Arabidopsis thaliana: one gene and its partners. The protein of the gene in region 3 interacts with the protein of the main gene of each other region in a pairwise test. Each region holds a gene or a part of one and is shown on either strand. Other genes may lie near its edges.

Region 1 (8,698 bases), on a different chromosome or scaffold from region 3:
TGCAGTTATTTGTCAATTTTGAATTTAGTATTTTAGACGTTATCACTTCAGCCAAATATGATTTGGATTTAAGTCCAAAATGCAATTTCGTACGTATCCCTCTTGTCGTCTAATGATTATTTCAATATTTCTTATATTATCCCTAACTACAGAGCTACATTTATATTGTATTCTAATGACAGGGAAACTTTCATAGAGATTCAGATAGATGAAATTGGTGGGAAACATCATTGAACAGGAAACTTTTAGCAAATCATATCGATTTATCTACAAAAGAATACTTAGCGTAATGAAGTTCACTTGTTGTGAATGACTATGATTTGATCAAATTAGTTAATTTTGTCGAATCATTTTTCTTTTTGATTTGATTAAGCTTTTAACTTGCACGAATGGTTCTCTTGTGAATAAACAGAATCTTTGAATTCAAACTATTTGATTAGTGAAAAGACAAAAGAAGATTCCTTGTTTTTATGTGATTAGTGATTTTGATGCATGAAAGGTACCTACGTACTACAAGAAAAATAAACATGTACGTAACTACGTATCAGCATGTAAAAGTATTTTTTTCCAAATAATTTATACTCATGATAGATTTTTTTTTTTTGAAATGTCAATTAAAAATGCTTTCTTAAATATTAATTTTAATTAATTAAATAAGGAAATATATTTATGCAAAACATCATCAACACATATCCAACTTCGAAAATCTCTATAGTACACAAGTAGAGAAATTAAATTTTACTAGATACAAACTTCCTAATCATCAAATATAAATGTTTACAAAACTAATTAAACCCACCACTAAAATTAACTAAAAATCCGAGCAAAGTGAGTGAACAAGACTTGATTTCAGGTTGATGTAGGACTAAAATGGCTACGTATCAAACATCAACGATCATTTAGTTATGTATGAATGAATGTAGTCATTACTTGTAAAACAAAAATGCTTTGATTTGGATCAATCACTTCATGTGAACATTAGCAATTACATCAACCTTATTTTCACTATAAAACCCCATCTCAGTACCCTTCTGAAGTAATCAAATTAAGAGCAAAAGTCATTTAACTTTCCTAAAACAATGGCTTTAAAACATATGCAAATCTTTCTCTTCGTCGCTATATTTTCATCATTCTGTTTCTCCATCACTCTTTCTCGTCCACTCGACAATGAACTCATCATGCAAAAGAGGCACATCGAGTGGATGACTAAACACGGCCGTGTCTACGCGGATGTGAAGGAGGAAAACAATCGCTACGTTGTGTTCAAAAACAACGTCGAACGCATTGAACATTTAAATAGCATTCCTGCCGGAAGAACTTTCAAACTTGCGGTAAATCAGTTTGCTGATTTAACCAATGACGAATTTCGTTCCATGTACACTGGTTTCAAAGGTGTCTCGGCATTATCTAGCCAAAGCCAAACTAAAATGTCGCCGTTTAGGTACCAAAACGTTTCTTCTGGTGCTTTGCCGGTTTCTGTTGACTGGAGGAAGAAAGGAGCTGTGACCCCTATCAAGAATCAAGGCAGCTGCGGTATAACTCAAATCTTTATTCATATATATATAAGTGAAATCAAATTGAACCAACCGAAATTTATGTATTCAATCAATTTGAGTTAATTCATAGTGAACAAACCGATCCAAACCAAATCCATAGTGTAACTGACCGAATCGAATAACCATATTTTTATTAAATTTTTCTATGTTAAGTTATATATATTTTGTTTCATACCGTTTTATTGAGATATGTAGTTAGACACATGAAAATATTTATGATAGTGACACTAATGAGTGATGTTTTTGTAGGATGTTGTTGGGCGTTTTCAGCGGTTGCGGCTATTGAAGGAGCAACACAAATAAAGAAAGGGAAACTTATATCTTTGTCAGAACAACAGCTTGTTGATTGCGACACAAACGATTTTGGCTGCGAAGGCGGTTTAATGGATACTGCGTTTGAGCATATAAAAGCGACTGGCGGCTTGACAACTGAGTCAAATTATCCTTACAAAGGCGAAGACGCTACTTGCAATTCCAAAAAGACCAATCCAAAAGCAACTTCTATTACAGGTTCACTTTAGTTAAAGAGCTGGCATATAATAATTAAACAGATTAAACCGATTTTTAATCATATTATCCAAATTAATAAACATTACTATACTAGATAAAATTCATATTTTGAATCTTAAAAAGCTCATGTACGTTCACATATCATAGGTTATGAGGATGTCCCGGTTAATGATGAGCAAGCACTGATGAAGGCAGTGGCACACCAACCGGTTAGCGTTGGAATTGAAGGAGGTGGTTTTGATTTCCAATTCTATTCGTCTGGTGTGTTCACTGGAGAGTGCACTACGTATCTTGATCATGCAGTAACTGCGATTGGATACGGCGAATCTACTAACGGATCAAAGTATTGGATCATCAAGAATTCATGGGGAACAAAATGGGGAGAAAGTGGATATATGAGGATTCAAAAAGATGTCAAGGATAAACAAGGACTATGTGGTCTTGCCATGAAAGCTTCTTACCCAACTATATGAATTCAAAACCGTGTTAAGCTTTTAATTGTGTATGTTTGTGTGGGATTGATGTCTAAAAATAATTTGAATTGTTTTATGTAAAAAAATTGTATTTAGACTGTTGTATGCATTTTATGAAATTGTAAGCTTATGTAATGCAAAGGATTGATAATTTTCGAAATGTTTCTTTCAAATTTCAACGGTATTAGCTAGGGATAATTTGAAGCATATGCACAATCAAATTCCACCAAGTAAAAATGAAAATTTGTTAAAAAAATGAAGTTTGAAAACTCTTAACCATTTACTGAGAAGACTGTAATAAACCGAATTTGGTTCAGTTTGATTTTTATGGAAAAAGACGAACCGTCCGGTTAATGCTTTTTACTTTTTTAAAATAAACCGGTTTTGGTTTGCTTGGATATAAAGCCGACCCGACCCGGATTGACCATGTTCCTTGCACGACTCCTTTTTCTCACCGTTCTCCGTCATCGTCTTCTTCTTTCTCACATTCATTGACTCTCCTCCATAATAAACATTGCAATCTCTCAGAAAGATAAGATCAGCCATGGCTGAGAAAGAAACTCCAGCAATCATACTTCAATTCGCTCCATTGAACAGTTCCGTCGACGAAGGTTTCTGGCATAGCTTCTCCTCTTTGAAACTCGACAAACTCGGAATCGATGATTCTCCGATTTCAATCACCGGTAAACACACAATCATCGAATTAAAAAATCATCCAATGCATCGATTTTTATATATTATTCGATGAGTCTATGCATTCGAGCTCTTATGATCCGTTTAGGTTAGAGAAGCAAAAAAAAAAGTTGAAAACTTGAAAATCCTCTGTTTTCTGGGCAAGTTGTTATGATCCGTTTAGGTTAGAGAAGCAAAAAAAAAGTTGAGAACTTTAAAAGCCTCTGTTTTGTTTAGTAGAGATTATTCAGATTTAGAATTTATGTGCTTTTTTGGAACTGAAATTTTCAGGTTTCTATGGACCATGTGGACATCCACAAGTCTCAAATCATTTGACTCTTTTATCAGAGTCATTGCCTTTAGATGAACAATCATTGATTGCTAGTACTAGTCATGGAAATAGGAATAAGTGTCCTGTTCCTGGGATTTTGTATAACACCAATACCGTTGAAAGCTTCAATAAACTTGACAAACAAAGTCTGCTAAAAGCAGAAGCAAATAAGGTAAATACAAAACTTAGCTCCGTGACTTGGTTTTTACTGGTTCTTGTCTGCAGAAGTTTTAACAATTTTGTTGGTGAATTTTAGATTTGGGAGGATATTCAATCAGGAAAAGCTCTTGAAGACCCTTCTGTGTTACCAAGATTCCTCGTTATCTCCTTTGCAGACCTTAAGAAATGGAGTTTTCGGTATTGGTTTGCGTTCCCTGCGTTTGTACTTGATCCTCCTGTAAGTTTGATTGAATTAAAGCCAGCTTCAGAGTATTTTAGTTCTGAAGAGGCTGAATCAGTATCCGCTGCTTGTAATGATTGGCGCGACTCAGATTTAACTACTGGTACTCAACATTCTTGTTCTATTTTTTACTATTAAAATTCAAGGAGTGGTAGCTGAAAACCTTTTGTTACTTCTCCGTGTTTTGCTGTAGATGTTCCATTCTTTTTGGTTTCGGTTTCTTCTGATTCAAAAGCTAGTATCAGACATCTTAAAGACTTGGAAGCGTGCCAAGGTGATCATCAAAAGGTATGTGTTAACTAACTCTTCCATATGCGTTAGATACAGAAAAAACAAAATTCACCTTTATGTGTCTCTCTTCCTGCAGTTGCTTTTCGGTTTCTATGACCCGTGTCACCTTCCTAGTAATCCTGGCTGGCCACTTCGAAACTACTTGGCACTGATTCGCTCAAGATGGAACCTCGAGACAGTTTGGTTCTTCTGCTACAGAGAGAGTCGTGGTTTCGCTGACTTGAACCTTTCTCTTGTTGGTCAAGCCTCAATTACACTTTCATCAGGTGAATCAGCTGAGACTGTACCTAACTCAGTGGGATGGGAGCTTAACAAAGGGAAACGTGTACCCCGATCCATTAGCCTTGCTAATTCCATGGATCCAACAAGGTACATTTTTGCTCTGTGTCAATGATCTACTCAACTAAATGGGTAAAATCTGATTAGACAAACGGAATCACGTTCTTTCGCAGGTTGGCTGTTTCTGCTGTCGATTTAAACTTAAAGTTAATGAGATGGCGAGCATTACCGTCTCTTAACTTAAATGTATTGTCCTCTGTCAAATGCCTTCTTCTTGGAGCTGGTACATTGGGTTGCCAAGTTGCTCGTACCCTTATGGTACGTATTGAAGAAAATGCGAGATTTGACATTATTTTACAAACTCACTGATTAACTAAGAACTCGTTTATCTTTTATTTTCTTAGGGTTGGGGAATCCGCAATATCACCTTTGTTGACTATGGAAAAGTTGCCATGTCTAATCCAGTCAGGCAATCTCTCTATAATTTTGAAGATTGTCTAGGTCGTGGTGAGTTTAAAGCTGTTGCTGCTGTTAAAAGCCTTAAACAGATATTTCCAGCAATGGAAACTAGTGGAGTTGTTATGGCTATACCGATGCCCGGACATCCGATTTCTAGCCAAGAAGAAGATTCTGTTCTCGGTGATTGTAAACGCCTTAGCGAGTTGATTGAATCTCATGATGCGGTGTTCTTGTTAACCGATACAAGAGAAAGCAGGTGGTTACCGTCTCTTCTTTGTGCTAATGCCAATAAGGTAACTAACTCTGTTTCTTTATTTCTTCTTACTGGTTATATAAGTATAACAATCTGCTTGATATGTCGGTGTTTGATGTGAATTTCAGATCGCTATAAACGCGGCTTTAGGTTTTGACAGCTACATGGTAATGCGCCATGGTGCTGGCCCCACCTCTCTGTCTGATGATATGCAGAATCTTGACATAAACAAGACAAATACACAGAGACTTGGTTGTTACTTCTGCAACGACGTGGTTGCACCTCAGGATGTAATTCCCTGGTTTCTTCATTTTGAATTGTTTTGTTTCGTGTTACCTCCAGTTCAGTCCTGATTCGTCGTACCCACTCTTTTCTTGTATTTGCAGTCAATGACTGATCGAACTCTAGACCAACAATGCACTGTTACACGCCCGGGTCTAGCTCCTATTGCAGGAGCTCTCGCCGTTGAACTCTTAGTCGGAGTCCTACAACACCCACTTGGGTAAGCCTTTCGAAACTCGAATACATTGAAAATACAATCCTCAGGCTTATCGTCTTACATATGTTTATTACATACAGTATCAATGCAAAAGGCGACAATTCGAGCTTGAGTAATACAGGAAACAATGATGATTCGCCTCTCGGGATATTACCTCATCAGATACGAGGCTCAGTTTCTCAGTTCTCACAGATCACGCTGCTTGGTCAAGCTTCCAACAGCTGTACCGCTTGCTCTGAAACCGTAAGTTTCCACATGACATCATTCTTAGAAAACTGCGCTCGAGAATCTGATGATGTTTATAAACTTGTATTTTCAGGTGATATCGGAGTATAGGGAGAGAGGAAACAGTTTCATACTTGAAGCTATTAACCATCCTACATACCTGGAGGATCTTACTGGTTTAACCGAGCTTAAGAAAGCTGCTAATTCATTCAACCTCGACTGGGAAGACGATGATACTGATGATGACGATGTAGCTGTAGATCTTTAAAGACAGATTTATGTATCAAATGTCCATAGACTATATTCACTAGGTGGCTTCTTTTATGAATCTTTTGATAAGCATTTTTTTAAACTAAATTAAAGTACAAAGAAATGAAGAAATCAAATTCTTAATCACAGAATGATTAGTTCAATATCTACTAAACCGAAAATCACACCAACAGTGTATATATAATTTTAGATAATCATAGCTTATAATTAAATTTGAAAAGAATACATTCAAAGATTTTACATATCACATTAGCAAAAACTATGGAGTTTGCGTAGAACAAATCCACTCAAATAAACAGAGGTTAGCGTTGACGCAGCTCCATTCAAATCACAATTTAAGGAGATAAAAGGATAAAATTAGATTTGTTTAAAATTGAAATAGACATAACTTCTTTTTTTTTTTTTTTGCTAAATTGTAAATATTTCATAGATAATGAAAACAGTTTAGGTTACAAACATAAAATTTGAAACCTATATATATGGATCTATGGCAAAAAAGAATAAAAACATAGACGCATAAAAAACGGTTAATTAAAACCAAATTTTCGATCGATCTTCTCAACCTTGCAATGAATCTAAGGGAATAGATGAAGCGATGACGTTCAATTCTATCCTTCCCGAAAGAGATGCACAAGCAGAAGGGCTGAAACAGATTGTGATACACCAAAAAGCGATGGACTAAGAGCTTTAGAAGCCTTTCGTTGGAGGCCTGACATTGAGCCGTCAACGGTTCGAAACACAAAAGCATCAAACACATACTTTCCCTGCGACATGTGAAAGCGATACTTCAATCCAATCCATGAGCTCTCCCGAAAGCAGAACCTCACACGCCAAAGTAGCAAAAGATGCAAGCTCCCTCTAACCAAGTTCATTTCCCGAAGTCAGCAGCGCAGAGCAAGATAAGAACTAATCACCACTACACCAGAAGCCATAACATAACTTCTTTATATAGACACAATATGTTCTTTCTTTTATCATTTGAAAAACACCGTCAATAAATTTTTACCATCTACGAAACTACGATAACTAAACTTATTCAACTCTCGTTCACCGTTTTAGCTATCTTCAGCATTTTCGTGCTTGGTATGTATCTATATCTAAAATCGACTAAATATATTATAAACAAACGATCTAAAATAAATGTTTGTGAATGCCATGTTAATTTTTTTAATATCAGTTCATATATATTATTTCCAAACATCAATATATATGAAATCAAAGAAAACTTTTTTCTTTTTAATTTTTAATAAAAAATAATATTTTGGTGTAATAAACAGGAGTGGTCGAAAATGAGTATAAATGTTCGGAAATTCTGTTTCGAAAGAGTAAGTGTGATTATCAAGAGTGTGGGTTGATGTGTGTTTTGAAGAGGCAGGGGTTGTCAAGTTGCTCTAATGAGGGCATATGTTCTTGCCAGTATCAATGCCCTTAATTTTTATTTTTTACTATGTAAATCAAATTATATGTAAACTTTAAAGTAATTTGCTTTACATGTTTTTTATATATGCATTATCCATTAGAATGTATTGTTTCTGTTAAAAAATAAATTACAATTTCTAAGTTAGTAATTTAATTAACTGTTTTTATAAGAAAGTATGGTAAAACGCCCGGAGATGAGATTAGATGCAATGTGGTGGATATTTTAGCATGGGCAGTGAAATTTTGCTAACTTAATTCTGTAACAAAAATGTGAAAGGGAAAACAATGCAATCTATTTATTTATGTATACTCTACTAACATGTATATGAATCAGAACCGATCTAGTTGTACCTTTTTCATACATTTAATGAAATATTTCTATAGATTTTTTTCCCCAAAATTGTCGTTAATAATGTGAAGCCCAAAGCTATGAGTTTTTATGCTTATGCTCTCGAACGAGCTTGATATAAATATGATCGATTTATAGGTTTTCAATTAGGAGTTATATGAAAAGTTTGTGTGTTAAAAAAAAAGTTACAACTTATGAGTAACTTAATTGTTATTAATTATAAGTAGGCATGGTGAAACGGCCGGAGATGAGACCAGTTGCAATGTGGCGGTAAGCCGCTTCAGTGAGGTGAATTCCGTCCCAATTTGCGTACGTTGATGGATCTTCGCAAGTGGTTGAACCCTTTTCTCCGCACCGCACGTTTGGTTGCACGTTGTATCTTCCATCTCCTCCTCCACAACATGCCTTTAGGACACTTCCAGTGAAACCTATATTACAAAAAGAAAAACAATACATATCGAACAAAGTATCAAAATTGATTTGTATATCGAACATGTCTACTAGTTATAGGAAATAATATGGAAGTCGGATTACCGTATTTGGAAGGTGAGTTGAAGAATTGCATGGCAGAACTGTAATAATCAGCATATATAATTTTGGCATAAGGGTACTTTTTTCTTAGAGCCGCGAGGCCTTTCTTGAGCTTATCATTGTGAAGCTTAGCCAAATTGTTCAATGGCATGTAGCATTGGTTCCTCGAGTCATAAAGCCA
Region 2 (7,427 bases), on a different chromosome or scaffold from region 3:
CTCCTTATTCCCTGACTCATCCCTCTCCTCCGCCGCTCTTCAGTCACTTCACTTAGAAATCATCGATTTCGTTTCTCCGTTTACTTCTCCTTACATATGGCAGCACGAGCCTTTCTCTCTCTCAATCGCTCTCTCTTCCTCTTGTGCTTGTACCAATACTGCTATACCTCATCTCCACGGGAAGCTCAAGTACGGTGACAATCTCGAAGACGAATGGTTCGCTGTGTTTTTACTTTTTCGAATCTCCGCCGCGTTTCCGTCTAATTCGATTCGTGTTTGGGACACTGACGGCGAGTTTCTCCTAATCGAAGCTGCTTTTCATCTCCCGCGTTGGCTTAATCCGGAGACTAGTCTCAATCGTGTCTTCATTCGCGGTGGTGACCTCCACATAGTTCCCAGAAGCCGTTTGCCTGATCCTTCTTTGGTTGCGTCTCTACGGTTTCTAATCGAGCGTGGTAACGAATCTCGTGCGTCGGATTCAGTTCAATCTGCGTTGAAGAATCGGATATCTGATTATCCTGAAAGAGCGTGGAGGAATATGCATCGTGTTAGGGTTAGGGTTCCGGTATCGGTAGCTCAAGTGATTAGGCATGAACCTTTCTTGATCTCACTTGCTGTGGAAGGGTTTTACGATCGTGATATGGATTCAATGAAACACGCAGCGAAGATGGAGAAGTTTCTGAGCAAAGGAAGAGAAGAGAAGCTTGTGCTTGTTCTTGTCAAGATGTCTCGTGCTATGTATGGGCAGCTAGTGCAGCAGAAGTTTCAAGCACCGAATTGTTATCCAATGCCTAGTGTCAGTGACAGGGATGCTTTCTCTGAAGCTGAGCTAGGGATGAAGATAGCTTGTGGTATGGAAATGATGTACCAGCAGAGGAAGAAGGAAGGAGAAGATGGGAAAGGGATTAGTTGGAGCAAGTATAAAGACAATCTTGAGAAGTATGGTTATTTTGAAGGATTGCTTTCTGGTTCGAAGGAGTATAAGAGGTTGATGGAGAATGCTGAGGAATACCACCAGAAGAGTTCTTCGTTTTCGAGGACTAGGTAATTGCAGTTTTTTGTTTCTATAGGTAGTGAAAAAGGATTCATCTTTGAGTTGTTTATATGATCTTGAGTACTTGTTTTATTTATGTGCAGAGACATTATGAGTGCACCGGTGAGACGTATTGATGAGATTCTTGCTTTACCTTATTCGGAGGATGACTTTAAGGGCCAGGAAGTTCCTGCTTCTGACAATGATTCTTGGCTCTACGATGGTGAAGATGAACTAAACTCTGTTCTTCAAGAGAGGCAGAAAGAGATGGAGTTTTATAACTCAAAGAAGGAACGCAAAAATAAAGGTAAGGAGAAGCAAGAAGCTGGAAGCTCATCTGATGCAAACATGAACAATTTTGATCTCGGTGATATCTCAAAGTCGATGCAGCAATTCATGCACAAGGTATCAAGCTACAAAGGAGCAGAAGTTCCAGAAAACAGGTTATCCATTATTTGAACATTAATCATTTTTCATGAACATCTCTTTGTTAATTTCAAGCTCAACACATTAATTTTTTTTTTTCTGGACTTATGTAGGGATTTCAAAGAAGTGAGTATAGATGTTGATCGTTTCATGAAAGATATTGAGTCAATGCTAGGAAGCCAAGGTCGTGACGAACAAGCTGATGATGACAGTGATGGCTCTGAAGGATCTTCCATGGACATGGATTTTGGTATTTCCTAAACTTTTTTTTTTTTCCTAATGGCAACATATACTGATCTATAAGGTGTGAAATGTGATGTGGGACTTACTAAAATGTTATGGTATGCAGATGACGTTGAAGATGATAGCGAAGGAGAAGAATCTAACGAAGATGCTAAGGAAAGCTTTGAGGAATCCTACTATGGAGCAATGAATGAGGAACTGAAAAACTCAACTCTTGAGAAAAGCTTTGAAAATGTGAATCAACAACATTCTTCTAAGCAAAACGAGGTAACTCTCATAACTAGACTCAGTGAATTTAGGAGCTTAGATTTTGACTGTAATGGTATTTATGAGATGAATGTAATGTCTCTGCAGGAATCATCAAAAACTAGAGATGAGAAGGATGATGAGTTTACACCAGTTGATGCAGATTTTAACCTTGTTAAGAACCTACTTGAATCCTACTCTTCACAACAAGGACTTCCTGGTCCTGCTTCCAATTTGCTCGGCCTCATGGGTTTGCAGCTTCCAAAAGATTCCGGCGACAAAAACTGAATGCTTATCAAAATGTAGTTTGTTTTTGGGTTCACTTTGTTTAATCACATAATCGTGAGTAACGTTGTTGGGGAAGTTTTTGTGTTGTCGAAAGTAAGCACATGACATGTGATTTCAAGAAAACAACATATGTACATGTACATTACTACTATTACACATCATCAAACCACAAAGGAACAAAAGAAAAAAGATTTTTTTTTTTTTTCTCCTTTTCCAAACCCAATTTATCTCGACCACAGAAGTGAAGCAGAAACGCTTTCACAACCGGAAAAAAACACCCACATGAAAAATATCCAATACTCAAATCATATCATATTCATCTTCATGTTGCTAGGTCTCCATCAGCATCATCTTTGTCCATTAGTAGATTCTTGAGATATGACTTGGTGTTTTGTTGTCACTCGCTTCAAACAGAAAATCAAAAGAAGTCTCCAGAAGCTATATCCACGAACGAATCTTGCTTCTTCTTTTTTTTTATTTTCCTTTTCTTTTTTTTTTAGATTATTCGATGCTTAAATCTCGATACTGAAACAACAGAGAACTAGTCTTATTCTTCCCAATCTCCAATTTATAGCTTCCCCATAGACGACAGCCACTGTTCCATGTTCTTCCCATCTGCAGTTTACATGTCATCAGAACAAAGAACAAATCAATTTACAAACAAAAGACTCAAACCAATTACTTAAGTTCTTAAAAGAACATGCAGATAATTTACATGATAGCTATTAATGAATGATGATGATAATGGAAACAAACATTACCAGGAGCAGCAGGAGAGAAGAAGCCATTCGGAATCTGATTCCCTGAACCATCCATAACTTTCTTGTAAAGAGGAACCAAAACCACAAAGCCACCACAATCATCATCCTCAGCTTTAAAACCTGGTCCATGTGGCTCAACCCAACCAATTGACCACTCTGGATCATCAGGTTCAGGAAACACCACATTCCCAATCTTATCCTCTTCCCCTCCTGATCCTGATCCTCCTCTTCCAATCCATCCTCTCTTGGTCTTCTTCACTGATGAAGAGGAAGAACCAGTCTTACTAGTAGTAGTCTTCTTCAGTGAAGGACTAAGTGAAGAAGATCCTTTAGGAATTGACTCTTTCTTCTCTCTATCTTTAGTGTTACTACCACCACACAACCACCTCGGAAGACGAGGAAAAGAGACTGCCATCTTTTTTAATGTTTCCTTTCTAAAAAAAAAACTCCGAACCTCTCCGGAGAAAACTCTTATCAATCAGCCATCATGTATCGATGCTTTATCTTCTACTTCAACCTGTTGACAATTTAAAAATAAAATCAACCATCAATAAAACAATCATAATGTCAACATAATGATGACACTGACCAAACACAAAGACTTTAACACAAATTTCAGATGCCAATAGAGAAAATCTCTTATCCATTAATACTGTTTATGATGTGATCGATTAGATTAGATTAACTCATCAACATAATATCAAACACGAGATTTTATGATTAAAACAGAATTTTTTCTTCTCAATTTCAATTTTCAATGAAATTTCAGGATAAACACAACGAAGATCTCAATTTTTTCTTTTTTAAATTTTCACTCGATGATTCTTCATCAATGGAAAGTAATTAATGTTTCATCAGATCGGTGGTCCAATTAAAAAAAACAATCGCTAAAAAATAGAAAAGCGAAAGCGGTCGACAATTGAAGAAACAAAGGATGATCATCAAAAGCCTCCGATGTCCGTCAAAAGACGGCAAGGCTTCGCCGGAAAATTCGGCGGAAATAAATGCGAAAAAATCGGAAGGAAGAAGAGAGAAAAATCTCCGGTAATTGCGAAACGTAGTAAATTACCGAGAAAAATAAGAAGGAAGGGAAAAAATCAAATCGACGATCGAAGAAAGCGTAAGAATAGCGTCGTTTCGTCCGTCGTCGTCTCTGACTCTCTTTCTCTTCTTCTTCTTCTTCTTCTTCTTATTCTGACTTTTCTCTGACTTTGTACAGAGAAGCTCATCTTCTGCTCTGCTTCATTTATATTACTCTCTTTTCTCCTTTTTTTATTTCTTTTGTTTATTTATTTTAGGCCGTTTTAATTGGGCCTCGCTTCTGCAAAGCCAATAAAGATTGATCCGACGGTTGGTAGCGGTTTACTTGCTTTCGTGGCAACTGTCGGTCCACCGTTCTACTATACACTTCATAACACTTGATTATATCCCATTCAGAAAAGTAAAACAAAAAACAAATATCAGGGATTTATACGTAATAAATCAACATTTTATATTTAATAAAACAAATCGATTTTCTTGTTAATTTTAATTTTTGGTATAATGATGATACAAAATCTTGGAATTATCAATCGGAAATAATTAAAGTTCATGCATTTCCCCCGATTCAATCATCTGGTTTCTCTATGGATTTTTGTGTAATTATAGAGATGCTTAATTAAAATCTCTATTAAAATCAATGAAATTTATACTACTCGTATATCACAAGGGTCAAGGATTGATCTTAAAACTTTAAGTACTTTATTAAAACATCACCCACCCATAATAAATGGTATGAGTAATAAATATGTTAATATATTTAATTAATTAACAACGGTCGCCAAAAAACCTGCAAAATTATGGGTAACAGACGTCATAAAAAGAACAAAACAAAGAAACAAAATTCTAGGTTCCTTTTTCCAATAGGTCGTCAGCTTTTCTTGGCCACAATTCAAGGCTCTACTAGTGCTAATTTATTGTTCATAAAGTTTCACATCTTCAATTCTCAAATATTAGAATAAATTCTTATAAGATGATTACAAAATAAAAATAGTGCATTCATCAGAATCTGAAGGTTGATGAATCTGAAGGGATTATTACTAATAAGCATATTCTAGACACTTGTGGTTGTTAATAAGGGATTATCCACTTGATCTTCTTTACTTATTTTTGATCAAATTATCATTATCGCTACAATAATTTGTAATATTCATTCACAATCAAATTTCTAATCAAACTATACTCTTTTTATTAAGCCTCAAGAACACAAATCTAAACACAAACTAGCCTCATCAAGAATCAGAGTTTTTATTTTTATTCTTATAAGAAATATCTAAAGATCAAGACTTTAAAAACTAATCAAACATGGCACATACAATCAGGAGCAGGATAAGTATAAATCGACTGTTTTGGTTTCCTTAACCGGATCTGTCCTTGTCTATTCACATGTCCTTCACCAAGCGCTTGCTGAAAATCTACCCAAGTGATGCTTTTGTTGAGGAAAAGCTGTCCTATTAACGCCATGTTTGGTCTGATCGTCTTGAGATTCTCGAATGTTCGATGACCAACAAGAGCGTTGTGCATGTTTCCAGGTGATGCGGAGATGAAAATGTCGCTGTGCATACTAACGTAGTAGTCAAGTGCAGCTAATAAAGAAGCTTTGCCCTTGATTCGAGCTCGTTCTTCAGAAGATGCAAGACTTCTTTTGTCTTCCATTCTTGGGAATACTTGTCTTAATGTTGAGATTCTAGCTTCTCCTCCATACACCTGTAATTCAAAAATACGTGATTAATATTCTGCTACATCACATTATAACCAGACTTTAAACAAGTAATGTAACTGAAGAATTCTGACCTTGTGGGATGCAAGATAGAGACGAGTATTGTTATCGAATCCGAAAGCAGCTAAAAGAAGTCCCATTTCTTCTGGTGTTAGAGGACACCGTCCTTGACTTCTTAACTCTTCATCAGTGAATTGAGAATTCAACACTCTTCCTTGCCAAATCATTTGTCTGTATTTCGCCAAGGAGAGTTTCTCGGCTTTGCCTCCGCCAAAATCACACGCTGAATGCGCAGCCATGTCCTATAAACATAACAAGAAGAAAATCTTGATCAAATAACTAACAACAATCACCAAAAGTTTTGAATAGGATGATTGGAATAAAGTATAATTTACCTTGTCGAAGCGAAGATGAAGCACAGCAAACTTCCCGGGTTCTTGTCTTCTGTGTGGGTTGGTCATGTCTCCTAAATGATCAACATTTTTCTGTTCCTTATTGCTTCTCCATGACGGGTTTCTAAGGCGGCTGACAAGAGCATCACCGAGTGATGTAATGTGAGGGACAAAACGTAAAGCTTGGAAATTCACTTTGCATCTTAGTCGTTGGATCTCAGCAGGTAAGTGGTCGAATGATAGCCGGTGAGAGAATGGAGAAATGGCAGCAATCCCATAACTACAAAATAGAACAAAAAAGCTCCAAACAATTACAGTCTGAAAGTCAAAAACTTAAACTTTCATTAGTCAGATTAAGTGCAAGACAGACCTTTGTAGAACTGGTGAGACGTTCTCAATATACCAATTCGCAGAGGCATGAACAGGCGCGGTTTTCACTCGTGTTTCACGTACTGCTGTACCGTAATACTCTCTTGTACTCCAAGAGTATTCATCAGGTAGTTCTCTAACCACCCTTATGTCATCTTTTAAAGAATCGATAAAATGATCGACATCAAAAATATCAACAAAAGAACTGCACACAGAAAGAAAAAACACACAACATCAGCTTCCGAGGCAACAACACAACTCTTCAACAGCAGAGAATTTTTCAAGAAACATTACCTTGAATCTTGCCACACAGGATTCACTTCAAGATAAGGGATCACGAGTGTTGCGTTTAAAATCTTCGCAACTGCAACAGCATCACATATTCCCATTCGTTGCTGGTTAAGTCCTCCATCAAGAAATACCTGAACATATCCCGCGGTTTTATCCGGTAATGCTGCTCCAAGACAACAAGATTAGTCAAAGATCAATATAATCTGAAACTAAAGAAGAAATTTTCAAACAAATTGTCAATACTTACAAGGAGAATTTCCCAAATCAATACAAGGACTCCATCCTTGATCAGTCAATGGCCTCCATAGATCAGACTGTTCTCCACTTGACTGAAATTATAAAGACAAGAAATCTCATCAAACTTTTTTACTTTCTGAAATCGAAAACTGATCGACAAAGAAACTTTTATAAAATCATCCAATTTTACCCGTTGTAAAGCACTCTTTAGCAAGGATAAATGTCTTGGCTTAATCGTGATAACTTCCTGCAAAAAAAGAGTGATTTGATTTTATATATAATCAAGAGAACTTCACTACTTAACTCAAGAGAGACTCTTGACCTGAAATTGAACAAGTCTAAGTGTATATATATTCCGGTCCCAAACTAGTCAAATTCCTGAT
Region 3 (7,150 bases):
GACCAACAACGATATATGCTTCACATGTCCATGCGTCTTAACCTTGCTTCATAGTCTCACATGTGGCTTTGCGTTGGAATCTTTAAATCTTACTTCTACAAAGGGTTTAGTTTCCTAGATTGGACTTTCTTTAAGTTGGGCTTCTTCTTATAAGTTAAACTTGTTGGTTCTTTGGTTATGCAACATGGATGCTTGTTTAGATAATCTAATATTGTAAAATTTGATGTGTTTGTCGAGTCATGTAAGTGAAAGATTCCACTTTTGCAACAAAAGTTTTAAATAAAGTGCAACATTTATGAGAAAGAAAAAAAAAAGGTTTTATGCAAAAGGACTCTCCAAATGATTTTTTTTGCTAGACAAACATCCATCTCAAAAAAATACAGGTCAATATCACAGTCTCAAAAGTCACCTACAATATAGTCCTTCCGTATATCGATGACGTAACAGTCGATAACTCCGTTGGAAGACATAAGAGTTTTGTTAAACAAACCCTCCATATATTTTTTTATTTTTGCAAGACAAACCTCAATGTCAAATAAATACAATATTACAATCTCAAAGTCACCCGCGATATAGTCATTTTGTATAGCGATGACATGACAATCGATAATTCCGTTAAAAGCATAATGGATATCAAAATAGACCTTTGTTTTGCTTTTGTTGAAAACCACATGATTGTGTGAGTTTCGTTATTAGAAATAGAATTGAGGGAAATAATTAGAGTTCTTTCATATTATATCTTCTTCTTTATTCATATGAAGTTTGGAGATTCATTTTTCTTTTCCATTTCGATCTTCATCCATTTCGATGTATGTGTTTGTTGAATTGTGTTCCACATGATCAAAAATCTTGGTTTGATTTTAAGTGATTCATTTACAGTTTTGAAGATCCCAATGAAAAATAAATATGAATCTCCAAATTTTCAGATAAATAAAAATTCAATAATTTTGGTGTATATTGTTTTATGGGTAATATTAGTAGATAACCAAATAAAACATACAAATTAAGAAACTAGCAGAGAGAAAGTTTTTTGTTACAAAATAACCATGGATCCCACGTTGTCGGAAGAAAGGAAATAACAAATCTACCCTTCATTTGTTGTAAGATGAACAGTAAACGAAATACATCCGTGTAATTTTTCAAAATAGCATGTAACATTAAAATTTCACATGTTATATTTAGTTTAAAAACATGCTATTTCAAAAAACGTTATGAATTTTTAAGAAAAAATATTCTTATGAAATTCTTTTACGTGAACAGAATCTTAAAAAAAAAAAATTATATGTGATTTTAATAAAAACCATGTATTACTAAAAAATAGGAATATATTTTTAAAGAAATCACGTGTGATCTTAATAAAAAACGTGTATTACTACAAAATATCATGATAAAAAGAGATATTAAACTGAATAGAATGTTTTTTCCAAAAAATACCAGGTGCTTTTTAATAAATACTATGTAATAAGAGAAAATAACAAGATAAAAAGAGGATATTATGTTATCGCATGTATTTCGGAAAAATAACATGTTACAAAGGACATTTACGTAATTACACGTGTTTTCCAACATGTTTCCGACAAGATACTGTGATTCAAGGTTAGTTTGTACATTCTTTTCAAATCTATAGTCATTTATTATAAATACTCTTGTTTTATTGTATGTTTTCTAATGTAGTTATTGGTTGTCATGTCATCACTACACAAAAAGATAATATTATGAGTGATTTTTAAGATTGTAGTGTTGACATTCATTTATTTGATATGAAGATTTTTTTTTACAAAAAAAGTTTACATAGAAATTTTTTACACTAAATCTTTATGTTTTTAATAGAGTTATCGTCTATATCAAACCTACATTTATTTGACATAATAGTTTATCTTATAAAAAATGACTTCATCTGTTCTTTTTTATTTGATTGGTTAGGAAAAACACACATATTAAGTTAAACATATTAAAATTGTTAAATGTATTATTTTTTGTATTTTACAATTTTTTATAACTTTAAATCAATAATATTCAATTATTTTTATCAAAGTTTATAATTAATTAATAATAACTAATAAATATTTCATAAAAAATCTAAAAATTAATCTTTTAAAAACTTATTTTTTTCAAAAAACAGAGAGTGTTAAATAGATAGATTTTTTTACACAAAACCCAAAAAAAAAAACTAAGACCTTGAATGTTTTTTAGATTTTGTAAGAGTTTTTGATTTTTGTTTTTTAAAAACTTATTTTAATACCAATCAAGATTTTAAAATTTTGGTTTCCCTACAATTTAGTAAAACTATTTTATTGTAGTTTTCCATTCATATTTAAGTTTTTTAGTTTTTCTAAAGTTTAGAAAATCTAGTTTTTACTCAATCAACGTTATTTTTTCAAAAACCAAAAACCAATTTTTTAGGGGTTTTTAAAACAAAAATATAATAACAAAAATCTAAAATCTATAGACTAAAATCTAAACTCAAAAACTGAATCGAAAATATCCATTCAGGCCTAATACATCCAATATTTCAATACTTCTTAACTCTTAACTCTTAAGTTTTAAGTAATTAAATATATAAAGATCTGTTGCCAAGCGTACCCTTTTTATAAACATTCCAAATAACTATCTCCATTCTTTGGAGTTACCCAATTTCGACGTTGAACACAAACCCTTGCTTCTCTCTTCTCTGTTTCTCTCTCGCAGCGAAAAATCATGGCGATTAGCTCCTTCAAGCATGAACATCCTCTTGGTTCGTTTTCGATTTAAACCTAATCGATCAATCTTGTTGATCTTTGTGTATCTCTCTCTCATCGTAGGGATTTTTTTAGCGACTAGGTTTAAAAATTCTCAAAATCTGGTTACGTCTATTTCAATTGCTTCTGAGTTTGCATGAATTGATCCTTGATTCTGATTTCCAACGATTTCAATTTTGATTGCGTTAACAGTTATAAGAATCCGCAAAATTATATGTTGAATGATTTTATCGCCGATTCTGTATTGTTTCGTGAAGTAGTATGCATAATCTTTGATTGAAACAAGTTTTGTGTTTATTGATGCAAATACATTATGATCTTTATTCAAGTGGAGATGAATATTGATGTTGAAGTTACTAAGTTTCACTTGTCTCTCTTGTGTTCCGTGGTCGAGTCTCTGTTGTTCACGGGGCGTAGAATCGCTATTTCAGTCCCTGTACATAATCTTTGATTGAAACATGTTCTGATTTGGTGCTGCTTTTGCTGAGGAAGCAAAATACATTATAGTCTCTGTTCAAGTGGAATCCTAAGATATTATCACTGAGTATGTGTTGTTCACGAGGCTTAGAATCACTATTTTAGTCCCTGGAGCCTGGAGTAGTAGTGTACATAATCTTTGATTGAAACATGTTTTGATTTTGTTCTACTTTTGCTGAGGAAGCAAAGTACATTATAGTCTCTGTTCAAGTGGAATCCTAAGATATTATCGCTGAGTCTGTGTTGTTTTACGTGGGTTAGAGGATGTTGATGTGTTGAAAATTGATGGATCTGTGTTTTTTTTGCTCTTGAATGTTACAGAAAAGAGACAAGCTGAAGCAGCACGTATCAGGGAGAAGTATCCAGACAGAATACCAGTATGAATTTTGGCTATTTTCATTTAAGAAAATTGCATAGCTTTTGCCTTATTCTCTCTGAAATTGTTGCAGGTCATTGTCGAAAGAGCCGAGAAGAGTGATGTCCCGGATATTGATAGGAAAAAGTAAGTCCTTACTTCTCTTGAGGAGTTGGATATAATCTCTTTCTTCTCACTGAAAGTGGCTTCAAGCCCTTTTCTGAGAACCCTACACTCCCTCACATTTAGTAATGAATTGGTTAATTGGATAGAAATAATTTTTTTTTATTGAAAGATCTGGAGGAATTTCTGGTTTTCATGGTTTGTTGCTTAGGGATAATGAATTGGCTGACTTACTATTCAAAACTTTAGGTACTTGGTCCCAGCTGATTTGACTGTTGGCCAGTTTGTTTATGTTGTACGGAAGCGGATCAAGCTCAGTCCCGAGAAAGCCATCTTCATTTTTGTCAAGAACATTCTACCACCAACTGGTTAGTTTCAAACACGTTCCTTAATCATATACTTTTCCAGTTCAAGGAATCATATCTTTTTCTCAGTTGAGCTAATAGTAGTAGTGTTATCCTTTTATTGCAGCGGCAATAATGTCTGCAATTTATGAAGAGCACAAAGACGAAGACGGGTTTCTATACATGAGTTACAGTGGTGAGAACACGTTCGGGATCTTCTTCTAATGCGCTTGGAATATGTGGATGCATCAGATTATCAATGTACAGTCTGTCTATTTCTCTGCTTGTCTCTAGTTTTCATGACATTGGACGAAGCTTTTGAAACTTGCATGCTATGTTATTAACATGATAAGGTCTTCCGTTCATGGTGTTAATTTGGCTTTATGCTACACTTAATTTCAAACTTAGTCGCTATATATAGTTGAGGTCACTTGGTGTCCTCCTTGAATATTGGCCCGGCCTATTTCACTAGTCGTTGAACCGTTACGATTTCTATCTTCTCAAAGTTAGCTCGACCGTCAAATCTCTAAGCTCTTGCAATCTCTGCTTCTAAGGAACACAAAACAGAGATAACTTTAGCTATAAATATTTAGATTTCAAAAGCAACTTGATTTAGGTAAATTTGTGCACACTCTAGAATAGATTATCATCTGTTACAGATTATTACTGTACAATCCAGCAAAAACTAGGCCTGGGATTTCGGATTAACCCAATGACCGAACTGAACAAACCGTTTTTTTGGTTCTGATAACCGACTATGAAGGGAAGGCTAAACCGATCGGCGAAATTATAATTGAAGTTCGGTTCTCGGTTCGGCAGACATAACCGATCAGTTTTCTCGGTTAATAGATACTATAAATATAAAGATAAAAACATTAGATCTAATCTTTTTAGCTTCTTCTCCGTTTCCTTTTGATCCTCATCCATGGCTATTTAGTCAATTCTCTCTATCTGCATGTGGTTTTCACTATGGTAGCACGTCGGGGCATATTTCGTTACGGAGATATCGTCATCCCTCGCTATCACCGTCACCGTCACAGACGTAGATCTGCTGATTATGAAGAGGGTAGCGGCACCAAGATACCATCAACCCTAATTTTTAATAGGTTTGGATTTTTAGTTATTTTGGGTTTAAGTTTGTTTTTCGTTTTGGCCCAATTATTGGTTTGTAATTATAAAATTTTGTTTATCTTCGCCCATTCTATAATTTTTGTTTTGACCCATTATCTTGATTTTGGACTTATTCGGTATAAACTAACCGAACTAAAAAAAAAATCGGTTTAGTTCAGAGTTGATTTTGAATCCTATAACCAAACCGACCCGAACCAAATCTTTATTCGGTTTAATTTGACAAAATTTTAAAGAACCGAAAAAACCGATTAAACCAAACCGAACCGATTACCCGAATAAACCGAATGCCCAGGCCAAAAACAACTGAAAATAAAAAATAAAAAATGAGATAGGAGAATATTTAATCCGACGGTGGAGAAATGTTGATATAATAAAACGTGATACAGAGGATCATAAACCCGCAACATGAGAAACGTAATAAGTTAAGTCAAAAAAACGAAAAAGCCAGAATCATATTTGTGGCTCTGGTTTCTCCATCCAAACAAAAACAACACCCAAACCTTGTCCACACCAAAATGTTAAACTCAAAATCCAACCACACACACACAATTTCTCTTCCTCTCTACCATTAACATCGATCAGAAAGACCGAGAGAGAGAGGGAGAAGCTGATTGATTATGGCTGCTGCTTCGATTTCTGCAATAGGATGTAATCAAACTTTGATAGGAACTTCCTTCTATGGAGGATGGGGAAGTTCCATCTCCGGAGAAGATTACCAAACCATGCTCTCCAAGACAGTTGCGCCACCGCAACAAGCCAGAGTCTCAAGGAAAGCAATCAGAGCAGTTCCAATGATGAAGAATGTCAATGAAGGCAAAGGCTTATTTGCACCTCTAGTTGTTGTCACACGCAACCTAGTAGGCAAGAAGAGGTTTAATCAGCTCAGAGGAAAAGCCATTGCCTTACACTCTCAGGTTTGCTTGTCTTATAATCATTCTCTTAAGAACTAGTCAAAGAAGCAAAGTTTTGTGGAACTGGGTTCTTTTGTTCTTTCAGGTGATCACTGAGTTTTGCAAATCGATTGGAGCAGATGCAAAACAGAGACAAGGGCTTATCAGGCTTGCTAAGAAGAATGGAGAGAGGCTTGGTTTCCTTGCTTAGGTCTTAAAAAGAACAAATCTTTCTCTCTGCTTGTGTCTGATATATACACTCACAACTCCTCTTGTTGTTCTTGTCTAGATGTATTTTGTCCAAACCTATAATCTTGATTTTTGTTACATTGCCTTTGAGGGTTACTCAAACACACATAACTGCTGCCATTCTCATCTGAAAAGTTGTTCAATAAGGTCTTAGCTGAACTAGTTTTCTCAGTCACATAGAGATACAAAATATGTAATATTGCCACTCTTTCAACAGATTAAAAAGCCTAATCATAACTCTCAAACAATTAAGGGATTGAAAAAGACTGTAAGTTTTGCTTTCTATTGAAGCATCCCTAAGATCGGAGAGGTATTGAGAGCTGCAGTTTTTTAACACCGTGAGCTTACACTGATTACTTCAAGACCCAAGTAAGATTGCATAATATGTCAATAAAGTTGTCATCGTGGAAACTTGATATATATGGAACTTTACCTAGACATTCTTTAACACAAACTCTGTTTCTGCTAGCTAAGCATTCGTTCCCAAAGGTTTCCAGGAGGTTGACTTGTTGCCAGTTGCCTTAACCTTGATTAGGTTGAAAATTTGGGTACGAGTAATGTTACAGAACCACACGTGGGAGGTCACACGTGCGAAATCAAATGGAAGAAGGAATTAATAAGAGGCTGACGCGTGTCGACTGAGGAGTGGCAGACTCAAACATGCCGTTAGGCCCTTCTATATGAGCAATATTCAGCTCATCTTTCTCTTTTATCAATTAATCTGTAAAATCTAGAATCTCTGAGAACTTTTCTAAGCTAGATATCTCACATCGAGACTAGCAGATCCTTGGGTGTTTTATGAACATCGATTGCTCATTGTAATCAGGGATTTATTCTTAATCG

What was found. The genes of interacting proteins can lie anywhere in the genome.
Region 1: the proteins of ATG8D (region 3) and APG7 interact in a two-hybrid assay, tested with the Arabidopsis thaliana proteins (one large-scale study listed by BioGRID).
Region 2: the proteins of ATG8D (region 3) and AT5G65480 interact in a two-hybrid assay, tested with the Arabidopsis thaliana proteins (one large-scale study listed by BioGRID).

Annotation. Positions count from the first base shown.
Region 1 is NC_003076.8:18,612,221-18,620,918, forward strand, and holds APG7 (ThiF family protein), read left to right. Parts: upstream 1-2,954; 5' UTR 2,955-3,083; coding exon 3,084-3,222; intron 3,223-3,502; coding exon 3,503-3,714; intron 3,715-3,798; coding exon 3,799-4,045; intron 4,046-4,135; coding exon 4,136-4,230; intron 4,231-4,309; coding exon 4,310-4,602; intron 4,603-4,685; coding exon 4,686-4,830; intron 4,831-4,916; coding exon 4,917-5,264; intron 5,265-5,352; coding exon 5,353-5,514; intron 5,515-5,610; coding exon 5,611-5,726; intron 5,727-5,803; coding exon 5,804-5,966; intron 5,967-6,042; coding exon 6,043-6,216; 3' UTR 6,217-6,377; downstream 6,378-8,698. Other genes in the region: SAG12 (senescence-associated gene 12), read left to right, coding at 1,080-1,533, 1,806-2,066, 2,214-2,539; AT5G45910 (GDSL-like Lipase/Acylhydrolase superfamily protein), read right to left, coding at 8,200-8,414, 8,521-8,698.
Region 2 is NC_003076.8:26,172,812-26,180,238, reverse strand, and holds AT5G65480 (uncharacterized protein), read right to left. Parts: upstream 4,219-7,427; 5' UTR 4,067-4,218; exon of another isoform or gene 3,859-4,066; intron 3,515-3,858; 5' UTR 3,413-3,514; coding exon 2,998-3,412; intron 2,852-2,997; coding exon 2,805-2,851; 3' UTR 2,322-2,804; downstream 1-2,321. Other genes in the region: AT5G65490 (suppressor-like protein), read left to right, coding at 1-1,044, 1,138-1,476, 1,573-1,709, 1,809-1,969, 2,057-2,236; AT5G65470 (O-fucosyltransferase family protein), read right to left, coding at 5,335-5,742, 5,830-6,057, 6,151-6,427, 6,518-6,721, 6,811-6,970, 7,055-7,136, 7,235-7,291.
Region 3 is NC_003071.7:2,080,323-2,087,472, reverse strand, and holds ATG8D (Ubiquitin-like superfamily protein), read left to right. Parts: upstream 1-2,590; 5' UTR 2,591-2,697; coding exon 2,698-2,734; intron 2,735-3,067; coding exon 3,068-3,174; intron 3,175-3,257; coding exon 3,258-3,282; intron 3,283-3,536; coding exon 3,537-3,592; intron 3,593-3,664; coding exon 3,665-3,717; intron 3,718-3,942; coding exon 3,943-4,061; intron 4,062-4,164; coding exon 4,165-4,262; 3' UTR 4,263-4,487; downstream 4,488-7,150. Other genes in the region: PGR5 (proton gradient regulation 5), read left to right, coding at 5,786-6,082, 6,165-6,269. UniProt on the Arabidopsis thaliana protein: Ubiquitin-like modifier involved in autophagosomes formation. May mediate the delivery of the autophagosomes to the vacuole via the microtubule cytoskeleton.